Linked DNA regions of Rattus norvegicus. The protein of the gene in region 2 interacts with the protein of the main gene of each other region in a pairwise test. Links are inferred from orthologs where the notes say so. Each region holds a gene or a part of one and is shown on either strand. Other genes may lie near its edges.

Region 1 (4,681 bases), on a different chromosome or scaffold from region 2:
TGGTAGGAAAGGTCTTTAAGGAACAGACGAAACCTTCTGGGTTCCGGAAGCCGGCAACAACATACGGGACCCCCGGGAGGAACGACTGAGCCCACCATTTCAGCAGCTTGTGCCTAACAGGAGATGCAAAAGGGTCAGCAGGACCCTCTACCCTCCCCTTCAGGCAGCGTCTATCCTCCAGACTCCTCCAGTCTAGGCTCCTCCTGTCCTCCCTGGCCAGAACCTGTAGAAGCTCCTCCACTGGCCAGGGCTGTGCATCTCCTTGGACGTCTTGAGCTCCACGTAGCAGGAGGGAGGCTGGGTGCAAGGGGCCTGGGGGTTTAGGCAGTCTACCTCCCCGGAGAATAGGAGAGGGTGGTTCCCCAGGCGGCTGCGTAGCACAGAGCAGAAGGCCACGTTGGTGTTAACTTCCCCAGAAGGGTCTGGGGAGCCTCCAGGTTTGTCTGCACAAGAAGAGAAGCCAGCAGCAGGGGAAGGGGCTCTCGACCTCTGCGGAAGGGGAGACGGGCCGCACGGCAGCGACAACTCTCACCTGCACACATGTACTGCTCAAACTTGTAGCCCATGTACATGAGCTCCCGGAGGAGGGGGGGCCTTGCAAGCCTCTGGGCCCGAGCAGCCGGGGTCTCCACCTCACTTAGATACAGTGTCCCTTGGAACCGGGAGGCTGCCAGCTGCCAGCCCTCTTGCCTCTCATACGGTGTGGTCAGCAATTTTGTCAGGTGCCCTCGCCATGTCACTGTGGCCCCTGCCAGCCAGCCTGGACCCCTGGGAGGGAAGAATTCGGGGTTTACGGTCGAACTCGAGCTTTAGCTCTGTTGACTCAAAACTCCCCACTAAAGACCCTTTGGCTCTCCCAACTTCAGAAAAGAAAAACGGGTCACCAGGTCAGCTTCTGCGCTGCGCTGCGCTTTGCTCACCCCTCCAGCTGGTTTCGGTGTTCCAGGACCCAGCGCAGCAAATGGTCCAACCTCTCTCGGACCTCCTCATCCCGGGGCTGGTATCGGTCAGGGTATCCATCTCTGAGGTCAAAGTCTGGGCCTGGGCCGTTGATGGGTGGTGGGCTGTAGTAGCGGAGGGCTCGGGCATCTCCGTGGTACTGGCGCTGTGCGTCCAGGGAGAAGCAGCCCAGTTCGGAAGGGCGCCGGTAGAAAGGGAAGGGTCCGGAGTACAGAGAAGGCTGTGTGCGCAGTGAGGGTAGCGACCGCGGTAATTTGTTCCAAGTCTTTGCCACCTCTGTCTTCTCAGCTTTTCTCTTGGTCCCTCTGGGCTCCATGGGGTCCTGAGAGGAAGCGTTTCCGTTTTAGAGCCGACCAGGACCGAGCGAGCTTCCAGGTCCGGGGTGTGAGTGTAGCAACTCCCCCTTCCCAGTCAGGAGCCGGGTGTCTCGTTCCCACCCACAGACACCCAAACGCGGTGAGGTCGAGGAGTTTGGGGTTTGGAGCAAAGACCAGGTTACCTCAAAGCTCCACCTCCCCGAGGCTATAGCATCAGGGCAGCACCTCAGAAGCCGGACAGGGATGCAAACGTAGAGTTGTTGCTCCTGATGACGCAACCATCCGCCCTCAGGGCCGGAGGGGGCGAGGTCGGTCCGCACCTGAGCAGGATCCCAGGCGCCGACTCGCGCCGCCGCGCGCCCCAGAGAGCTCCGGACCGCAGCCAATCAGCAGCGGCCCGGGCGCCGGAAGTGAGGCTGTCTTCGTCATCAAACTCAGACGACCAGCCAGAGGCCCCGTCGTCATCATTCTGCACCGGAAGACGCTATGTTCAGGAGTTCTTTCCCGGAACCCTGAAATTCGGGCTATGAATCGTAAGAGACGTCTCCTGGCGTCTGAGGTTTTTGGAGTGAAGCGACGGCGGGTGCCGGGGCCCGTGAGAGCGGATCCTCTAAGGGCGGAAGCAGGTAACCATGGCAACCCGGGCGTGGCGGGCCATAGGGTACCCACCCTTAGAGGAGGGGGAGGAGGAAAAGGTCCTGGGGTGAGTAACCATGACAACCCAGGCGTGGGGCTCGGGCGTCAGATTCTCTGAGTGCTCTCCACCCGGACCTGACCCCGCGCTCGCTCCCCGACAGGTTCGGCACGCGAGGCCATCGAAGAGCTCGTGCAGCTGTTCCCACGGGGGCTGTTCGAGGACGCGCTGCCGCCCATCGCGCTGAGGACTCAAGTGTACAGTCTGGTGCCGGACAGGACGGTGGCCGACCTGCAGCTGGTGAGGAGCGCCCTGGAGACCTTCGGTGTCTCTTCATCTCCCCAACCCTCAGCCTCAAGGGCACTCGCCAAGTCCCTGTCACTCAGACCCTCAGTGGAGCCGCCAGCCCATCAGCAGGCATTAGACCAAAGCAGATGCAGAGCAAATCCCAGGGCTTTGTTCGGAACTGCAGGCAGATGTCACATCCCACAGGCTTTCGTCTGACATGTTATGGCTGTTAGAGAAGCAAAGGTGTGCGGAAGGTCATCGGTGAAAGAGCTTGAGGGAGAGAGATGAGTCTAGTGTCAACTCCCAGATTTTCCTAACGGTCGGTTAGTGATTAGTGGATTGAATAGAGGAGCAAGGCACCGAGTAACCACTTGCCTGATGCGCACACTGAGTGGCGGGTAATAGACGGACGAGACAGTGGGCTCTGACGCTGCAGATCATTCTAGGCCCTGTGGTACACAAGGGGAAGGCATAAGGGGCTAAATGAGATCCTTGGGGAGACTAGAGGAGTGTTGTAACCTTGTGACCAAGTTTAGAGGGTGATTGAAAGCCAGGGCCGTGGTGTACGTTGTACAGTGTTTAATATCTGTGAAGGAGTGCCTCACAGGATCCTAGGCAATGAGGCCTAAGGATCACATCCACCTTCCAGTCAAATCCACTGGGCAGATTTCAGTCTCTGTTTCACAGGAACTCTCCGACCACTGCCTGAGTGAAAGGTTGTAACACTGTGAATGCCTCTCCCTGCTCCTTTTAACTCTGGCAGTTCCTTCTCAGCGTCCATCTTGCTTATATTGTTATGTTGTTTCTGACCCCAGGGCAAAGACTGCAGACTCAACCCAATTATAATTAAAATGTTTATTGATTACTGAGAGCAGGACAACAGTCTCTGAGCCATACAGAACAGAGTTGGAAGCTGAAGTAGGTATAACCCTGAAGGGGCGTCGTATTGCGTATTTATTTAAGGGATGAAACCGTGAAGAGAGGGGGAGCATCGTGGGCTGTAGCATCGTGTAATCATATTTTGACAGAAGGAATTGAGCAAGGGAATTCTCGTCAGTCAGGATAGGAGTTGGTCCCGGGGCCTGGGAACATGATCTTAGTTTGACCCTGCCAGCAAGATGAAGAAGTTGTCTCTGAGATGTCTGGACTCAGACAGCCGTTTACAACAGAAGCCGGCCAACTATTATGAAATCCCCAACTCTCCTAGGGCCCGGGACCTTGGATTTACTTTATCTCTATGATTAACTGGGGCCTGCAAATGAAGTGGTAGTACTCAGAGTTAAGTTTCTTTGGCACGTTCCCAACAATATATGCGTATTTTCACCAGGAACAGCTTGATTTTATGATTCCTTTTTACCTTGACAGTGAGATCATACTGCTTGCCTTACAGTCTGTCCATGTCCCTATAAGAAAATGCCAGAGGCTGTTTAGTCTACATCAGAAAGAACAGAGTTCATTTCTTTTTTTTTTTTTTTCTTTTTTCTTTTTTGTCGGAGCTGGGGACCGAACCCAGGGCCTTGCGCTTGCTAGACAAGCCCGAGTTCATTTCTTAAAGCTGTAGAAGCTGGGAACCTAAGACCAAAGCCTCAGCTGGCTCAGCATCTGGTGAGGGTTGGCTCTGACTTGTTACTGTGTTCTCAACGGCAGAAGAGACGGAGGACTGGCCATAAGGGCATTGGTCCCATGTGGCTCTCAAGGCACAGTGACCTGCTGCTTTGTGCTGTCACTTTGTAGTCGATGGTGGTGCCGGGCATCGAACCCAGAGCCCTATGCATGTTGGGCAAGCGAGGCTTCCTGCCGTGTCGTGCATCACTTACCTGGTTCCAGCATCCGGAGAACACACTACGACACCATTCGCTTCTTGTTGAGTTAGCTGGGTGTTTGAAAGATCATTCCAAGTTGTCTGTAACAATAGTTACCCATTTCTCTAGGTTCCTATGTTAGGAGCCTGTTCCAATTTACTCATCCCTGTGAGACAAACGTATTTTTGATGGCTTATGAATTCACCTTAGCTTCCTAATTGCATTTTCATCAGTGGTCAGTTAGAAGCGCCCTCACACCTCCTCTGTGCTCCTTGGGTGGGGGTTGGTAAGAACTGTGGATCACACTTCCCAGTCTCCTGTCACTGAGCTCTGACTGAATTTCCAGCTCACATGACACGGTGGCCAGAGAATACACAAGATGACCCCACACATTTGAAATCGATAAAAGGCTTGTTTTGCATTATGTGGCCTATTTTGCTAAACGTTATATACGTGTACGTGAAAATACGTTATTTCCTTACTGATCTCTCTGTAGCCGAGGCTGTAATTGAATCAATCAATCTCTCTCTTTCTCTCTCTCTCTCTCCCTCTCTCTCTCTGCTGATTATTTAGTCCCTTGTTCTGTGAATTTATGAGAATTGGATTTATATACTCCTGAGGTGGGGGTATTTTATTTATTTATTTTGTTTGTTGTTTCCTGAAACTCACTCCATAGACCA
Region 2 (4,635 bases):
CCGCAGGTTCTGCGTTTCAGAGGCTTTCCCAGCTCCGGGCTGTTAGAAGGTCAAAGAGACCAGATTTTTCCAATGCAGGTCGGTGGGGGTGGGGCCCGGCGGCCTCCGCGAGATTGAAGAGCGCTGGGGCCCCTGGAGCTGCCCTTGTGCCCCGCGCTCGGGCTTGTGGGTTAACCTCTACTACCTAAACGTCTTGGTTAGTATTAAATTAAAACTTTCTCGTTTTATATTCTCTGCCAGTGGCCCCGATAGACTTTCTGCTGAAGGCAGTCTTCTGATTGGCCTGGTTGGCTCCCTCCCAAAGGTCCTTGTAAATTCAAGGTCAAAATCCGTGCTTGTTACCTCCACTGTCTCCAGCCACGAGCTCGACTGGGTAAGGGGCTCAGTGAGTGTGTGCTGCACATATGTGGAGATTTCACTGTGATAAACCAAGAGGATGGGGCGTGGGAGTGGGGGTCCTCCTGTCTCCTCTCTCCTGTCCTGGAATAGACTGCAAACAGCGCCACCCAAGTTCCTGGTTAGCTTCGGGATCCCATGCCGGCTGGCAGCCCGGTGCGCGGGGGTCACGGCTTGGAAGCCGGCGCGGAGAGGCTTGCAGTGAGCCGAGCTCCGGCCCGCGTCTGGGCCACGTGAAGCGTCACGCCCCGCGCTGCTGCAGGGCAGGCGCCGTCGCCGCGGTTGTGTAACTCTGCAGCCGGAGGGGAGGCGACCCGGACGCCTCTGCATCGGAGGGGGCAGAGGAGGGAGGGAACGCCGGGCACCGTGCCCGGTATCTTTCTGTGCTTGACTAGCCAGGGTGGGTGGGGGCAGTGAGGCACCCTGGAAGGCGGGAGGAGATGGGTGCGCGCCAGTCGGGTGCCAGGCCACCCGCAGGCTGCGCCCGGGAGCTGAGCTCCCGGGAGAGTTGGGGGAGGGGAGGGTCCGCACGGCTCACACGGTCCACGGTCAGGTGCGCTCGGCGTGCTCGGCGGCGGCCTCGGCTGCCCTAGCGCCTGGCCACCAGCCCGCTTCCCATGGGGTGACATCCGCCCCGCCCTCGGTCCCTCCCCAAGGCGGGCAATTCCTGGACACTGAGGCTGAGCGTTGGGGGGCTGGGAAGCCAGGACGGAAAGAAACCCCAGCCTCTGGGGAAGGCCAAGGGGGGCCGACAACTCCCTCCGCTGCGCACCGGTTCCTAGGAGCGGGCCAGGCGGGGGAGGAGGAAGAGGGCTGGGCTGGAGCGACCAAGGGGATATTCCTCTCCCGGCTTGAGTCAGACGCGGGCGGAATCCGTCCTCCCCCGTTCCCTCCCAGGAGACGGGAACTTACTTCATTTCCCTGGGGCAGGTTCGCCCACGTTACCAACTCTTCCCCCCGCCCCCCAGCTCCCCAGTTCCTTCCAGCTTCCGTGCCCCCCACCCAGCTGGGCAGGACTCTGGCTGCGCTGCCACCCCCTCTTTCGGGGAAAGGAGGCCGCAGCCGCAGACACCTGGGGCCCGAGGTTTGGGGCGGCGGGGAGGGGGGGCACTTTGCAGCCGCCAGAGCGTTGTCCAACACGTGAGACTCATGTGATGAAGCCGGGGGAGGGCGGGCAGGTCGCTCCTTCCCTCCCCGGCAGCGGCCAGACGTGCTTGGAGTCACAGGGTAGAACACGTAGCTTCTACCCACCCACTCGCTCCCATTTAACCCAGCCCGCAGCCTCTCCTTACTCCTCGGCTCGTCCCCTCCAGCAACCACCGCCCCCCCCCCCGCTCCGCCCTAAGCAACCCCCCCTTTCCCTCCCGCCTCTCCACCCGCCCCACTTCTCATTCACTTGGCTCGCACGGCGCAGACAGCGCAGCGAGCACACACCGCCAGTCTGTGTGCAGAGCGGGAGCCAGAAGCCGTGGGGGACACCCGGTCATGCACGCCCCCAACTGAAGCGACACCTCAAAGCCGCAGCTCCTGGCAGCCCAGCGCATTGCAAGAAGCTCAGGCTAGCTCATAGGAACATACCCCTTGAGACCCTCGGATCCTCCCTTCCAGGGCAGTCCTCTCTCAGACTCTCTGCTAAGTGCAGACAGGAGCGCACAGTGGCCCCTGCTCGCCGCATCATGGAGCGGATCCCCAGCGCGCAACCACCTCCTACCTGCCTGCCCAAAACGCCAGGGCTGGAGCACGGAGACCTGTCAGGGTAAGTGTGCGCTGTGATCCCTTCAAGTCTCCGCTCCTCACCGTGTCTTCCATACCACTCTCAACTTGGGGCATCTCTGGGCATATAGGGGGCTTCTTGCATCTGTAGGACTTCTGCAGCCAGTACGCACTTGGGAGTCACGGCTCTTTCTGGCCTTTCTCCCTGCAGGATGGATTTTGCCCACATGTACCAAGTGTACAAGTCCAGGCGGGGAATAAAACGGAGCGAGGACAGCAAGGTAGGTGCATCCCTGGGGACCCCGTTCCTTAGCCTCTCGCGTGCGCTGAGTTTCCAAGGAAAAGTTTGCTTGTTTGAAGGTTGGCTGGGGGTTTCGGGATGTGATGAGCTTATTGTCACAAGTGAGTGACTTGGGAAAGAAGGGGCAGAGAAGGTGATCCTCGGTGCGTCTCTGCGCCCTCGCAGAATTTTTTTCCCTCTGGTGCTGGGTGGGGAGGAAGGGAGGAAGCTTCGTGTTCCCTTTCTCAGGCACCCACTGCTTCCATTTATTCCTTGCAGGAAACTTACAAATTGCCGCACCGGTTGATTGAGAAAAAGAGACGTGACCGGATTAACGAGTGCATTGCCCAGCTGAAGGATCTCCTACCCGAACATCTCAAACTTACTGTAAGTGAGAACCTGGCTGCGCTCCAACCCAGTTCTTCTGCCCAGAGGGCGGGTGGGGGTCACCCGCCGCCTGCAGGCGTCAACGGGAACTGCAGGCTAGACGGGCGGATCAAAGCTCCTAGTAGTTCTGGTTTGGAGGGAACCCAGACCCAGACCCAGGACTTCCAGGCAGAGGCAGAACCAGAACCATCTGGGGCCTCTTTAAGTTGGCTCCAACACTAGCACAGCTTCCTTTTGGTATTTTTTTTTCTTTCTCACCACCTCGTAGTCTCCCTTAACTTAAAAGGAACAAACCGTGAGATTAAAAAATTATGCCCTTCTCCTTGTCCTCTTACCATCCACGAGAGGACCTACTTTATTTAATGTGTGCCTTTTCTTTTCATCATCATCTTTACTGGTAACCGAAAGCTTTCTGGATTTTCCTTCGGGAAAAGTGTTTGGAAAGGAAGACGAAAAGCCTGCATGACTGGAAGTCCTGAACGGGTGTTTGGGGGGGGGGGGGATGTGTAAAAAAAAAATTCAGCACACTGGGAAAGCCGTTTGGTTGCCAGACACAGTAGACATCCCTCCCTGAGTTGACACCACAGCAGGGAAATGTTATCTCCGGAGTCCCCTGAGTTAAGGTCAGGGCAGCTGCTGGAGAAATATATCTGTCAGCTCACTCCCGAGACTGTAACAGCTACCAAAATGCCTCCAAAGATAGGCAACACATGTTTGACTTTTTTTAAGCCTTTGATCGTTATATGGATATGTTAACACATCTGCAAACTTTAAATTTAGTGGGGCAGGAAAAGCTCTTCCTATCTCGTTGTCTACACCCAATTCTCATAACAAATAGTGTGTGTCAGAAGGGACTTCACTGACCTCACAGGTGACGGAAGCTCCCTTTTTTTTGTTTCCTCAGACTTTGGGTCACTTGGAGAAAGCAGTGGTTCTCGAGCTGACGCTGAAGCACGTGAAAGCATTGACAAACCTAATTGATCAGCAGCAGCAGAAAATCATGGCCCTGCAGAGCGGTTTACAAGCTGGTGAGTGCCTGGCCTGATTAGTGTCTCAGCACAGATCGAGCCCGGAGGGCTGGCTGTGGCTCCTGACTCTGAGCTACCATCTCCTTTGCACATTCACTGGGGGAGATGCTTTTCTGATTCTTTCCTAAAAGGTCATACTTTCCCATACGGAATGCTGCTGTGCACCACCTGGAATGAGTACTTATTAGCCCAGTGATGAAATGTTCCTGTGACATTTTGGCCCGAGAGTGTCTCGGTTCTGGGAGACTTCCCCATCCCCCTTTAAAATGCCAAGGCATCGATAATTTGCATTGTGGGTGTTTTTACAGTTGGTCTGCTGAGCCCTCATTCATGGGTGAGCAGAACACGGGTCTGCCCCTAGTGTTTTCCTGTCCCTTTGCTTCCTTGTCTTTGGATGTGGGATGCAGTCTTGGCAGGATGACAGCAGGCTTTTTTTTTTTTTTTTTTTTTTTTTCTTGCCTGCATTTCATTGTGGTTCCCTGAATAGCCACTAGGTATCTTGGCAAATTGCACAATCCAATGAAACCACTGGTTTCATCATTCATTTATCCTGAGTTTCAGAGAATCAGGGGCACCTTCTAACCTCCCCCTTCTCCCTTCTAGATCATACAGTACAGACCAGGGGGAATCCTAACACCTACCCCTCAGGCATTCTTCTGTTCCGTCCAAGGCTAGTACAAGAATCACAAACAAAAACCAAACCGAGCCAGCATGCCTGCCAGTTTTCCTACTAAAAATAGAAAGTTGATCAGGACTGATCTCTAGGGGAGTCAGAGCTACAGTATATGGGAAAGACTTACAAATAAAGAGCCTAGTTAGAATGCACAGGGG
Region 3 (4,459 bases), on a different chromosome or scaffold from region 2:
TTCTGCCAAGCTGATGGTGTCTGCCTAGCTGGGGGACTCTGACGTGCTGGTGGGGTCTGCCTGGCTGTCTGGTTTTGCCAGCCTGATGGGTTCTGCCAAGCCAGTGGTGTCTGCCACAGCACATTAGGGGGTGCGCCAGGTGGGTTCTGAGTGGTTACTGGAACCGGAGCAGACCTCCAGTTCCCGGAAGCCAGCGAGGCACGCCTTTGGTCCCCATTGCTGTTCTCTTCCACATTCAAGTTATTAATCTGTATCATTAGAGAGAAGAAAATTTCAGGGTCACTATTAATCCTGGCACCCCCAGTAGCTATCCTAGGAAGTCCCTAGGAATCCTCACCTATACCTCACTAGCCATTAGCCACTTGGTTCCTCACTGTCTTTCAGGAAAGCATTTCATCTCCAAACCAGAGAAAGAAAAACACAAAGTGGAGCCCGGGGTTTCTCCCTTTCCTGTGCACTGCTTGGTTTCACCCTGAACTCATTTCTCCCTGACTGTGGTCTCTCTTGCTTGTGAGGTGGATCTTCAAAATCTAATGATAATTCTGGGTGAGCCTGCCTAGCTTAAGACATGGTGTTTACTGTCAAATGTAAGACGGTCTGCACACATACTGCCTGTGTCCTTGTATCAACTCATCATTAATCTGTGGACAACCGGGGGTCAGGAATAAATATTTATTTCAGCTCCCCCTACAACTTTGCCAAAATAGAGATATATATGTGCCCTTTATTTTGTTTGGAGCAAAGGAAATTCAAAGAAAGGAGAGACCTCAAAGCAAAGGGAAGCCAGCAGGGATCTCACCTTGCGGGTCCTCTTGCCCCGAATTATAGTCCGGGACTCCACATTCTGAGCCTGGGAGCCATCTGCTGAGGTCTGGGCTGCTGCACCGTCAGTTTCAGAGATACCTGCACTGGTCCCTACGTCAGCCATTTTGGCCTGGTTTACATTCTGGGTCTGGGCATCAGCTCCAGGGATCTTAGTGGTGTCATTCCAAGCCTTAGCTGTCTTAGGCTGGTTGTTGGTCATCTCATTGGCACTGGGAGACTGAGTGAAATTGTAGGTGGCACTGGGGCCAGCCTTAGTAGTGGTATTCTGACCCTTAAAGGCCATTTCAGACTTTTTAGCTGCTGATTTGCCTGTGGATGCTGCATGGGAAAAATCAGAGGCAGCATGTGGACCTTTAGAGGTGGCATTCTGTGACTTAAAGGCCACCTTAGGCTGATTCTTGGGCATCTCCTTGGCATTACGTGCCTGAGAGTAATCATTTGGCCCCTTTGTGGTGGTATTCTGGGCCTTAAAGCCTGTCTTAGGCCTGGCAGCAGCTGCTGAAACCTCAGTATCAGCCTTCTCATTGGCAGTTGGGGGCTGTGAACTCTGGGGACTAGCATTCGGCCCACTGGCAGCTGCTGTGGCCTGGCTGGTGGGCGGAGCCTCGGAGATCTGGATGGCTTCCATCAAGGTCTGCACAAGCAAGGCGCTGTCTTCTACAGAGGCCTCTGCCTGCAAATACAGGAGGGGGAAATTTTAATCTCTGGGCCTTACAAGCCAGACCTGAAGGAGGGGCACGGCGCAACGCAGCAGGGGAACTGTAGACAGGCGTTACAGTACTCAGACATGGGGGCAGAGGCGGGTCAAAGGGAGGCGGGGCGGGAACAAAATTTAATTAAAGGTAGAGGGGGCAGGGCAAGGTGAGGGACAGTCGGAGGCAGCAGGGGCTGGTGCGGAATGTGGTGCAAGCACTGAACCCCGAATGGGTTTAGAGACAGACTCGTGAGGCTTGCCGTGGGGAGCTCAAGACCTGAGGACGGAGGAATTGAGGAGGATAAACAGAGGAGGGTGGAGGGGGAGTCTCGCGGCGTGGAGAAAGGGAGGGTGGAGGCGAGAGGTTGGGGGATGGGGCGACAGACTGCTCTACACGCGTCAGGGTTATGGAAAAAAAATGGTTCCTTACCCAACCCGCATTCTCTGGGCAGAATGCCCTGACTAACAGGGTCTCCCCTTTCTCTAAGCAGGGACCGATGGCTGAAAAGGGCCGCCCCTCCCCCCTATTCGATAAACGCTAGAAATTTGAGAGCCCGCGGAGTCTAGGCCGGAAGAAGGGCAAAATCAGATCCTGCCATTTGCGCGACCTGAGGGGCCAGGGGTGGGCGTAATCTGTCAGCAAGGAAAATGGAGGAATTGGGAGCGGGGTTCTCACCTGGAAGCCGCGGAGGCCTGCACCGCCGTCCGGTTTCTGAGCCATAGCTCTTGTCTCTCTGGCAAGAGCAGAGCCTGAGGGGGGTGTGGGAGAGGAACTAGGCATTATACTACAGAAGGAAAATACGTAGGACCGAATTGTGTGTGCGCGTGTGGTTTGATTATGGGGGCGGGTGAGGTGCTGGGTACGGGGAGAAACAGGCCTAACTGAAGCGGGAAAAGTAAATGGTCGTCCCGATAGACAATCTAAAATTTCCAGAAGCTGACAGGTAAAAGCTTCAAATCCGCGGTTTGGAATCAGATAAGCGCTCTGAATGCGGTAGTTTACAGGGGCGGGGGGGGGGGCGGTTAGCGGGGAGAGGTTCGCGTCTGTAAAGTTGAATTAAGGCTTTGAATCTAGAGGAATCGTATAACGGATCAAGGTCGGGAAATAGGATTCAGTGAAGGAATTGGATAAAGATTCAGGGAATGAACGGGAGTTCGAATTAGAAAGGGTCGGGAGCGAGGTGTAAGTCCGGGGTAAGGCAGAGGAGGGGGTTTCTGAATTCAGGGAAAGGGGATTGGGATAAAAGAATGGGGGAAGGGCGCCACACCAGGGGGGCAGATGCCCAGTCCGGGGGCGGGTCTCACCTTGCCTCAGGCCCCAACCCCAACCCCCTTCGTTGCTTCCTTCTTCACGACTCAGAGGATCGGGACTGCTCTGCTCCGCTCTCTGCACCCGCACTCTCTCCTTGTCCAGGAGAAAATGCCAGCGCGGCAGCTCGGGCGACCCCGCCTCTTCGCCTAATATACCACCCACCGCCTCAGGAAGCCCCGCGCATGCGCAACAGATCACTGTCCAAATAAGAGTCCCGCTTGCTTTCCCAACAAAAGCTTCATCCTGGAGACCTTGTCGCGCATGTGCACTTGGAGGAGATCCCGCCTCTTTGCCAGCACACTATCCCACCGCCAACCAGGTTGACAGTGTACAAAGGTTCCTCCTCCCCTTCTCCTTACGCATCCACTCCTTCAACAGATGCGCAGCGCCTTTTGGTCCCACCCCCTTGCCCAACACACCAGCCCCCTACCTTTATCCGCAATGCGTCTCTTCTCAGTCCCGCCCTTTTTCCCGAACTCTCTCTAGCCAGGTCCGCAACTACCTCCCACCCACTTGCTTAGAGCCTCTTAGGTAGGCCTCTGCGGGGGGTCTCTTATTTCGACACAAACTAGGCCTCTGCTGAGTTCACGCACTTTGCAATGCAGAAACCTTAAAGGCAGGGGCAAAAAAAAAAAAAAAAACAAAAACAAAACGTGACAGAGCTACCAGGGCAAGGGTCAGCCTGGGGATTCTATAGGTTTCCTCTCACGAGACTCAGAAAATTAGCGTTTCTCTCGCCCTTTTTGCAGTTTTTGCCAAAGAAATATTTCGTGAGGGGTGGGTCCGAGAGGTGAGGGAAGGGCGTAGGGCAGTGGGCTCTGTCCTGGAGCTTGGTTTTCTCACAGGCAGCCTCAGGAGATGGATGGAGGTCAACATTCTCATTTAACACGTCAGGTAGCTAAAACGTAAACCCGCTGTATGGACCAGGGCATTGAGCTAGTAACAAACAGAAAAGACAATATTTGCTTAAACACACTGGTAATCCCAGCACTCCGGAGACCGAGTTCTAGGCCAGCTTTGCAACTCTGAGACTTTATCTAAAAGACAAACAAACATCCATGTGGGGCCTGGATGATCCTGACTGAAAATCTGCTCTGAGAATAGAGGCATTCCTTAATCCTCTATTGGAATAACAAGCTTTCCTCTCCCCAATATTTGTTCCAAGGGAATGAGGCTTGTGTTCTAGGAGGCCTGGTGTATGTGGGAACCCTTCAGGTTCACTCTGTGCTCCTCTTGGCAGGCAGTCTCCAGGAGTGAGACGGCGGGCTTTTTTGGTGCCTGCTGGAGCAGCCAGGGTAGTCAGGTGTGTCTGCCCTGTTCTTGCGGAATGAAGCTGGGCTTGGCTTTAGAATTCCAAGATGAGTGTCTGGCCTATCTGTCTCTGGCTGTGTGAGCCCCTGAGACATGGTCACTTTAGTGGACCTCTCTGAGCCTAATTTACTCACTACACAAAATAGGAATCCCAGGAAGAGAGTCGTGTCCAAGGACACACAGTCTGCTGTGCCAACATGGCTGGAGAAACAAACGCAGAAAAATGGCATACAGATGTGGTGACTCAAACCAAACCCATACGTTCCCGAAACCCCAGGCAGATCTGAGCGCATTTCCCATTTATTCTGGCGTCAGCT
Region 4 (4,372 bases), on a different chromosome or scaffold from region 2:
TAGAACTAATTTACACCTCTTTATTAATAGTTGAAAGGTAAGTGGATTTAATTTTATTTTCTATAACCCTTGACAACTAATTACACTGCCAGTCATTGTGTCTATGGCATACTGAATATCATCTTCTCAACCACAAATTCAAGCCATGATGTCCTTGGTTCATAAAAACAAGAAGCCTCATTTGAAAGAGCAAATAGTCTAATAATGTACTACTTCTCATTTTTCTCCATATGTATATAAAAATATATAGTAATTATTAATTGCAAATTTATCTATTATGGAGATAAGGATGATTTACAACATGATAACCTACTGCTGTTACTAATAAGAATACTAAAGTAAGAAATACGAAGTAAAGTATTTTTAAAAGTAAGCTTAAAAAGTTTCAATGCTCAAAATTTAAATCATAGATTAAATCAGTGTGTATTGGTGGTGGGGGTGTGTTCAATTTTCAAAACTTCAGAGTCCTCTATAAAACTGTTTGGTAAGCTCAATATACAATAGAAATTTAGCAAATAAAATTTCAAACAAAATCCATGGAATAGAGCCTTTCCAATAAAGTCAGCAGACTGAACACATAGTATTCAGTTATACAGGTTCTGTATCTCAAGGACATCAACATCTTAAAAAACAAACAAACAAACAAAACCAATACTGCCCTATACCCCGATTTCATTTCTTAAAAGGAAGAAAAATTAATAGTCCCATGCTTATTGGGAGTTAGGAAAAAATAAAAATAAAAAATCTATACCTGTAAAATCATCTTGAAATGTTTAGTCCAGAACCCAATTCTAAGCCCTCAATCCTGGGAAATAAAAAAAACTGACTTAAGGAGTCTTAATTTTGAGCCTAATTATTGGTCTAAAATATGGATTCAACAATTCCGAGTTTTCTCCAAATCTGCCCACTAATGCATTTCTAGGCCTCCATTATGTTATATATACTTAAATATCTACTCAAATAAAAAGAACCAGCTGGTAAAGGTGGTTCAAGCTCATAATACCAGCAACTCAAAAGGTTAAGGGAGGCAAGAAGATTGTTGCCAAGCTCAGTGTCAGCCTGAGTAACTTAGTGAGACTCTACCTCAAAATAAAGTGCTGAGGATATAGCTCAGTGGCAGGGTACTTGCAGAGCACTGAGTACTTTCCTTTAATTCCAAGAACTCCAGTTAGTTAATAAGGTAGAACTGCTTCAATAGTACCCTAAATAAAAGTTCAAATAAACAGCCAACACCACCACTGTGTGGCATCATTTCTATTGTCAAGTATCCTATACCTAACGAAACTGAACTAGACCCAAGATTTTTTAACCTAAACTTCCAGCATAATTTCTTAGTCTTGTTATCTTCATTGTTTTTACTATAACGGAACATGTCAAGTATGTTCTAAATGTGTAGCAATGAGTAGAAAAAAAATAAGAGTATCAAAGTGGTACTCTACTAGTAAAATAAAATTCCGAAAGATAACTGAGTCATATTTCTAAAAATTTCTAAAAGCATCCCGAATAGTGGCTCAGATGGAGCAAACATTCCCCCACCACCACCCAAAAAACAAAAAACAAAAAAACAAAAAAACCACTGAAATTAATAACTTAAAGCAAACCAGAGTTTAGAAAAAATGTCTTACATGCAGACTTAAAGTCAAAACTTTCTCAGAATCATTTCAGATATGAGGTCCCTCATTTTACAGAGAATGAGACGATTTATTTCGCTCTCCAAAAAACGATGCTGAACAATTTAACTGAAAATATTAGTAATAATTTTCAGCTGACTTAGAAAAACCCTTACGCTATCTCAAAAAGTTTAAGCTTTCTTTTTCCTCTAAAGATTGTAAAGGCAACCTCCAAAACTGGCGGTGCTAAATACTGAACAGTAATATAAATCAGTGGAAAGGAAATACTTTCAACCAAACGGGAACAGTTAAGCCAAAATAACTTCTAGCGTTACCGAAGATTTGAAAGATTAAACCTCAACTTTGCTAACGAAGAGTAAAAAAGCAGCTCCTCCTTGCACTGGGGGGCAACACACACCACTGAAGCAATAGCTCCACCTACTGATCCATGATACTTCCTTAAACATTTTGGCACCCCAAAGTCTACACCGCTGGAGTTCATTCCCCCTCCCTCCCTCCTCCACTCGCTCTGACCCAACCCAAGTCCGTTGAGTCACTAGCTCCTAGCACTCATCCTCCGTGCTCTTTATTCCAATTCCTTTTCCCTCCAGAAGGTTCTGCACGGCCCACAAGTATGAAGAAAACCGCAACGTGTCAAAGCCCGCGGCCACAGCATGGATCCCGGATTTGGATGAGCACCTGAGGCGGCTCAGTCGTGCGCTCCCGGGAAGAGGCCCCGGGCGCGTCCTAACACCTTCTCCCCGGGGTCTCATTCGGTGCACACTCGTTCTCCGGGTTGAAATCGTGGCCTCGCGCCCTTGCCTCCGCCGGCCCTTCAGCCCGCCAACAGCCGGCCTAGCCTCCGCCCCCCTCCGGGAGCCAAGGGACCGGGGAAGCCTCGCAATGTCCCTCCGCCAGGTCTTCGCGCGAGTCTCTTCCCCGCAGCGCTCCCCAAGTCCACCGACCCACGCCCCTCTCCGGTGCCCGCCGGACCCTCGCCCGCTGCCCTTCCTCACCCTTTCATCTTCTCCGTCTGCTGAGGCCGTCGTTACAGCCGCCACCAACGCCGTCGTCCTCGTCGCCCCGAGCTCTCCGCGCCCTAAGCTCAGGCCACTCAACCTCACACGCCGGCCTCTTGGCTGAGGGGACGACGAGGCCTCGAAAGCCAAGCCAGGCCCTGAAGCTCTAGAAGACGCGGGGAGATCTGCCGCCGCCGCGCTGCTGCCGCCGTCGCTTCTCCACACGTGCACTCCGGACACTCAGCTCCCGCCCGCAGCTGCCGCCAGCCAGACCCGCCGCCGCGCTGTGACCTTTCACCCCGCCCCCTCAGCGCGCCGGCGCGTCCGCCGCGTCGCGCGCAACCGCAGTGCTCGGCGCCGCCAGGACTCCACCCCCTCCTCTTTCTCCAGGGCTGGGCCTACGGTCGGCTAGCTCCACCCACCCTTTGCGACACTCCAGTGGAGCTTGCTTGGTAGGCTCCGGCGGTAAAATCCGGATTTTTCCACCCTTCCCTCTCTTTCAAACCAACAAGATCAGCCTGTCCCGCCCCCACCCACTTTCTAGACCTCCAGTGACCTTCAAATCCTCTTGTCCCCTAATAGGGTTTTACAAAATGGATTCTTCTCAATGTAAGAAAGCCTGTGGAGGCTTGCAGTAAATGTGTTTTAAATTCAAAAGGTAACGATGGGTCTGGATAATTTGGCCATCCTCCAGCAGGCAAACCTCACAGGTTTTTTTTTTTTTTGAAATCACGTGATAGGCTTATGCCTTCCAGCCAGGATTTTACTGGGGCCTTTAGAGGCGGGACTCATCGCCATTTCCGGTCCCTAGAGCGTGACTCAGCGTCACTTCCTTAGCAATGCACTTTAACCCTTGCCATCCTCGTTTTCTGTACTGTAGTTTATATAACCCAGTCATTGTGAAAAAGAAAATAACGCTTTTCCTAAATCGCGGAACCATTCACATCCAAGCAATCCGCAAAGGTTCAAGCCTGCGAGACGCAGCGTGCCTGGGGAGGGGAAGCGGGGTGGGGCTTGAGGTCACATGACTAGCTAGGGCTGACCCGCCTCCTGCAGCTGAAGACTTCCCCTCTCTCAGTGACAGAGCCTCTGGGTCCGGTCTAGGTACAGATTCTGCATTGCGAGCCCGGGCAGGTGAGGTGCGACAGGTAACTGGTGGCTGGTGGGAACGATTGACGGGGTGGGGTGAGAGTATATAGACACTGGGATGTGTGAACCGCGGCGTGCGGTGCTTGGGGCTCCTTTCGCGTTGTCCTCCTGCATGAGCGAGGAGCTCATTTTTCTAGATCTGCTGGACCCCTGACCCTTCACCTTAGTCCACGACGAGGGATTATGATGCCCACCTTTCCCTGTGTTGAGAGCGAGTGCGGCCATTATGGTTCCTTCTTTAGAGCATTTGGGGCTGATTCAGGTGGTAGAATTGTTTTAGCCATTTCTTGGGGGTCTGCAGCAAACGACGGGTCCCATTCCCCAAAGCTCCTTCCTTGGCAAAGGCCTTGGCCTGGTTGATCAGAATGGAGGAAAACCCCTGTAGGCAGAGGCGTCTCCGGTGAGACAGGCTTAGTAGGGAATGTCACTGATATGGCCCTCACTGCAGTCACACTGAAGGGCTTCCCCACAAATGTGCGTTCTCAGTGATTCTAAGGGTTTTGTCCGACATCCTTGCAGGAGAGGTTTAGTGAGTGTTTGGATGAGACTGGAAGGGTAAGAACGGGCCTTATTTCTTCGGAGAGAAGAAGGTTG
Region 5 (4,568 bases), on a different chromosome or scaffold from region 2:
ACAGAGGGCAGCACAATGCAGCTCAGAGATGGCATCTGCCTATGGGATGACACACAGCCTCTGTCTGCCCTGCAGGTCCTGGCAGAAGTCACCCTAAGAGTGGTCCCAGAGCCATGCGGGCATAGCCTGCACTGGTGCCTAAATCCCTCTTCAAAATGGTGCCCTAAATTCCTCTTTAAAATGGCAAATGCTGGGGGAGCCGCCCAGCGGGTAGATGGCTGGCCTAGCACCCCCTGGGCCTTGCCTGTCCTGTCCTGTCAGCAGCTCAAGGTCATCCTTGGCTATATAGGGAAAGCCTGGGCCACATAAGACCCTGTCTCAAAATAAATACCAAAAACTTAAATAAAATAATTTTTTAAAATAGAAAACTCCACAAACACTGAGGTTTACCTTTTTCTTGGAGAAATCTAAGGGTCTTTTAAAGATTTTATCATTACTATCATCATTATTATTAGTTCATTTTCTGAGACAGAGGTTTGTTCTGTACCTCAGGCTAGCCCAGAACAACATTCGCCTGACTGTGTGAGAGCTGGAAGGTTGGGCCTGCACCCCCATGCCCACTCACCACTGGATCCTATAAAACAGGTCCAGCCTAGGGTCAAACGGAGACCCGTGGCTGGGACCCCAACTCCCCAGCTTCAGGCTGCTTGCAGCTTTCTTGCTTCTGTGCTGTGCACTCCTGGAAACTGCTAACACCTCTGGGCTTTGGGGTGATCAGTTTCACACATGAGGAACCCGTCAGAAATGAGAAAAGTATTTGTGGTGGGAGTGACCAGGCTGGAGGGTCTGTGGGACACCTGCAAGCTTCCCCACTCCAAAACTGGACAGAAGGAGAAGGTGGGGCTGTGTGAACCTGGGCGGACTATTCACCCTCTCTGGGCACCCAGTCCAGGCTGTGCTAAACAGAGGGATGCATGGGGACTGGGCCTCTGAAACCGCGAATGCTGTGTGCCTCGGTTTCCTCCTCCACACTAGGGGCTGCTTGTTTTGTTTTTGTACACATGGTCTCATGTAGCCCAGGCTGGCTAAGTAGTTGAGGATGACCTTGAACTGCTGACACTCTTGGTCCACCTCCTGGGCCCTGAGATGGCTGAGGCACCCCCCACCCCGCCTTCTTTGATGCCACAGACAAGTCTACAGAGGTGGGGTCCCCAGGCCCTGCTCACCTGTGGTACTGCGCTTGTAGCAGCTGGAACTCATCCTTGATGCGGTCGCAGGAGTCGGAGGTGGTGAACTTGAGCTGCTGGGGGAGGTGGGAGGAGCCCTGCGGAGTGCAGGAGGGTGAGCAGCGCCCTGCCCCACCCACGCCCCACTTCCTGGGTTGCTTACAGGCCCTGGCAGCCAGGAAGGGACTGTGAGGCTTCTAGGCAGTGGTGATGCTTTTACACACTGGTCATTTGTGAGGGGCAGCACCCATGTGGCTGCCCCCCGGAGGAACTCCCCAGAAAGCCCCTCTAAGTCAAGCAAGGTGATAACAGGCCTCCCTCCAAAGCCAGCATGGAAAAGGCACCTAGCTTACCACCCTATATTTCCTGGGGGTACCCCATCACACCTGTTTCCTCAGGGGTGTGCTCTTCAGGGGTGGACCCCCCCAAAAGCTGCCCTGCCACAAGGAGTGCCCTGTGGGGTTCCTCCCAGGTCCCAGCCAAAGCCACAGGGAAGTCATGGCCTGGGAGTTAGGGAGAGAGCTGATGGGGGAGGGGCTTGGGGGGGCGTTTACAGGGCCCGCATCTGAGGGCACTGGGTCAGGAGTTGGGCTGTAAGATTCTCTGGGTAGCAAGGCTAGGGGTAGGGTGTGGGGAGCATGGCCACTGGGATCTGGTGTGGGAGGCGACAGATGGGCCCGGGCTTGGATGGATGTGAGGGGGACAGAGCCTAGTGCTGGGGAGGAGGTGCAGGGGAATGGGGGATATCTGGCTCCGGACAAGGGAGCACTGGGCCTTATACGGGCACAGGGTCCCCCCAACCCTAGTGCTGAGGGTGCCGGATGGGGCCTGGAGGAGGAAGGCAGCTGGGGTGCGGGGCCTGCAGCTAGAGGAGGGACGCAGAGCCAGGCTGGAGGTGGCGCTGGGCCCGGATGGTGACGCCAGGCCCGACAGGGCTGGAGGGAGAGACAGGGGGTGTGGGGACTGGATTGGGGGGTAGAGGGCACCAGACTTGGGGACAGGGCAGATCTAAGGTGGAAGGAAGTGCAGGGCCGAGGTGGTGGTGGGTGCAGGGCCTTGGACTTGGTGTCAGGCCAGTCTGGAGCTCTTAAGGAGCTGGGCCTGGTGGGGTGCAGAGCACAGGGTGGGGATGCAAGGTCTTGGGCTGGAGGACATGCGCGCCTGGGGTGAAGGGGATGAAGGACTTGTGCCTAGGGTGCTGCAGCTCTGGGTCTGAGCCCCAGGGCCGGGAGACAGGCGGAATGCGGCTGTAGTGGGGTGCGGGCCCAAGATTGAAGACAGGCTGATCCGGAGCCCGGGAGTAGGGGTTGGGGGTGGGGAGAAGACCTTGGAGTCGGGATGGGGGGGCCGGCGAGGGGAGGCGGTGAGGGGACTCAGGGCAGGGATCAAAGTTCAGGGATCCGGGCTAAGGATGCAGTGCTGGGCTGGTGGGGTGCGTAGGGCCTGGGTTGTAGGGTGCAAGGGCTGGGGCACAGGCCTGTAGGAGGTGGGGGAGCACAGGGAGCCTCTGGGACAGGCCCTGGGCGGGGAGACAGAAGGGATCCGACCTAGAAGGGGTGCAGGGTGAGCGCTGGAGGTGCAGTGAGCTGAGCTGAGGGTGCAGGAAGAGCTCTGGGGTGCAGTGCGCGGGGTCCCCCTTACCGAGTGCCGGCTTTGCGGAAACATCATGTCAGTCGCGGGGGGCGCGGGCTGCGCCCCGGCTCGGGCGGCTCGGGGGGCGCCGGGCGGCCGCGCTTTGTCCCCGATCGACAGCTCCGGGGCCCCGCGTCCCGCCTCCTGCGCCGCCCGCCGCCCGCCCGCGCCGCCCGCGCTATTGTGTAATGGCGACGCGGTGCCGCCCGGGCTCCCGCTCCACCTGCCGCGCCCGGCACTGCGCAGGCCCGGACGCCCCACCCGTGACCTTGGCCCCGCGCGCCCCGCCCCCGCCACGGTCCGGAGCCCCGGCCCGAGGCCTGCCTCAATGGTCCCCCAAACCCCCAGCCCCCAGGCCACGGACTCACAGCCTGGGCGCCCAGGCTTCAGGGTGGATTTATGGAGTGCCTACAGCGTGCTACATCCTCTTTGGAGTCGGAGGGTTGGCATGACTGGGGGGCACACTGGGTAGCAGAGTGACACCTGTCCCTCAGAGGTAGGATGGGGGTCCAGGTCTGTAACCCACTGACTGGGGTGCGGAGGCAGGAGGATCAAGAGTCCCAGGCCAGCCTGTGTTACCAGAGAGCCTGTCTCAAAACAACAAAAAGTAAGACGTGGTTTGTGTTGAGCTACAAGAGTTATTACCGGTACTGGGTAGGTTGAGGTAGGTGGAAGCCAGCCTGATGTACACAGTGAATACAGCCTGGGCTACAAGAGTCCTTATCTCAAAACATCAAGAAGTTAAAGAGGGGCACAGCAGGTGGTGGTGGCCCATGCCTTTAATCCCAGCACTGGAGGCAGAGGCAGGCAAATCTCTGATTTGAGACCAGCCTGGTCTACATAGAAAGTTCTGGGACAACCAGGGCTACACAGAGAGCCTGTCTCATAAATAAAGAGTTCCCTAGGTCCTAGCTTCTGCCCAGCACTTGGGAAACTGAGGCAGGAGGATTGTTGGACTTCAGCATTAACCTGTGGCCCAGTTTACTGAGTGAGACCTGTCCAAAAAATTAAATACACATATAAGTATATGTAAATGTATATGACATATATTATATATAATAAATAAATATGCTGCTGTGGTAGCACATGCCTTTAATCTCAGCCCTTGGGAGGCAGAGGCAGGCAGACCTCTGTAAGTTCAAGGCTGAGCCCTGTCTCAAAAATAATAAAAAATAAAACATAAAATATATGAAAGAAGAAGAGTTCCCTGGGCCAATATGATTAACCCCTATATTTCAGGCCAACTTAAACTGCAGAGCGAGACACTGTCTCCACAATTCCATACAGTGTCAGACTCAAATGGCCCAGACACAGTGGCCAGCCAGGCTTGGCTAGGCCACGGCCATGCCAAGCCCCAGTGGGGTGGTCGGGGTCCTCCCCCAGCCACAGAGGGCCAATGAAGGAAAGAGGAAGCCATCTCCAGGCCTCAAGAGACAGGACCCGGACTCAGACTTTGGTACCCTGGAGGCAGGAGTCCAAGAGGCTGCTCCTGGTGCTGACCCATACCCGGCTGGTAGGGCTTTTGGTGAAGGTGCCACGATTGGCCTGTGACATTGTCTTGTTTTATTTATAGAAACACGGTCTCGTGGAGATCAGGCTAGCCTGGAACTCTGTAGCACAGGATAACCCTGAACTCTTGACCCTCCTGCGTCAGACCAGCCTTCCCTATGACTATTGTCCTGTCCCACTTTGGGGTATACAGATCCCCTTTCTGTGGCTTGCTGACAGTCTCTGATTCCAACATGGCCAGAGCTCTCAAGTGTCATGGCA

The links.
Region 1: the proteins of Bhlhe40 (region 2) and Stk19 interact in a two-hybrid assay, tested with the Homo sapiens proteins (2 studies listed by BioGRID). The two-hybrid records come from large-scale screens. The link is inferred for Rattus norvegicus from reciprocal best matches to the Homo sapiens genes BHLHE40 and WHR1.
Region 3: the proteins of Bhlhe40 (region 2) and Maged1 interact in binary tests that used the Homo sapiens proteins (3 or more experiments, as listed by UniProt). The two-hybrid records come from large-scale screens. The link is inferred for Rattus norvegicus from reciprocal best matches to the Homo sapiens genes BHLHE40 and MAGED1.
Region 4: the proteins of Bhlhe40 (region 2) and Naa50 interact in binary tests that used the Homo sapiens proteins (3 or more experiments, as listed by UniProt). The two-hybrid records come from large-scale screens. The link is inferred for Rattus norvegicus from reciprocal best matches to the Homo sapiens genes BHLHE40 and NAA50.
Region 5: the proteins of Bhlhe40 (region 2) and Tle5 interact in binary tests that used the Homo sapiens proteins (3 or more experiments, as listed by UniProt). The two-hybrid records come from large-scale screens. The link is inferred for Rattus norvegicus from reciprocal best matches to the Homo sapiens genes BHLHE40 and TLE5.

The regions. Positions count from the first base shown.
Region 1 is NC_086038.1:3,998,460-4,003,140, forward strand, and holds the start of Stk19 (serine/threonine-protein kinase 19), read left to right. Parts: upstream 1-1,756; 5' UTR 1,757-1,803; coding exon 1,804-1,903; intron 1,904-2,074; coding exon 2,075-2,211; intron 2,212-4,681. Other genes in the region: Dxo (decapping and exoribonuclease protein), read right to left, coding at 1-113, 224-443, 533-768, 921-1,276. UniProt on the Homo sapiens protein: DNA-binding protein which is required for efficient transcription-coupled nucleotide excision repair (TC-NER). Acts as part of a TC-NER complex which assembles and interacts with RNA polymerase II (RNAPII) when it stalls at DNA lesions.
Region 2 is NC_086022.1:143,172,697-143,177,331, forward strand, and holds the start of Bhlhe40 (class E basic helix-loop-helix protein 40), read left to right. Parts: upstream 1-1,753; 5' UTR 1,754-2,072; coding exon 2,073-2,152; intron 2,153-2,320; coding exon 2,321-2,390; intron 2,391-2,668; coding exon 2,669-2,776; intron 2,777-3,680; coding exon 3,681-3,804; intron 3,805-4,635. UniProt on the Homo sapiens protein: Transcriptional repressor involved in the regulation of the circadian rhythm by negatively regulating the activity of the clock genes and clock-controlled genes.
Region 3 is NC_086039.1:63,420,061-63,424,519, forward strand, and holds the start of Maged1 (melanoma-associated antigen D1), read right to left. Parts: upstream 2,926-4,459; 5' UTR 2,825-2,925; intron 2,270-2,824; 5' UTR 2,241-2,269; coding exon 2,196-2,240; intron 1,499-2,195; coding exon 800-1,498; intron 249-799; coding exon 1-248. UniProt on the Homo sapiens protein: Involved in the apoptotic response after nerve growth factor (NGF) binding in neuronal cells. Inhibits cell cycle progression, and facilitates NGFR-mediated apoptosis. May act as a regulator of the function of DLX family members.
Region 4 is NC_086029.1:70,063,830-70,068,201, forward strand, and holds the start of Naa50 (N-alpha-acetyltransferase 50), read right to left. Parts: upstream 2,926-4,372; 5' UTR 2,635-2,925; coding exon 2,627-2,634; intron 1-2,626. UniProt on the Homo sapiens protein: N-alpha-acetyltransferase that acetylates the N-terminus of proteins that retain their initiating methionine. Has a broad substrate specificity: able to acetylate the initiator methionine of most peptides, except for those with a proline in second position.
Region 5 is NC_086025.1:8,797,998-8,802,565, forward strand, and holds the start of Tle5 (TLE family member 5), read right to left. Parts: upstream 2,926-4,568; 5' UTR 2,835-2,925; coding exon 2,808-2,834; intron 1,670-2,807; coding exon of another isoform or gene 1,553-1,669; intron 1,265-1,552; coding exon 1,167-1,264; intron 644-1,166; coding exon of another isoform or gene 562-643; exon of another isoform or gene 1-561. UniProt on the Homo sapiens protein: Transcriptional corepressor. Acts as a dominant repressor towards other family members. Inhibits NF-kappa-B-regulated gene expression. May be required for the initiation and maintenance of the differentiated state.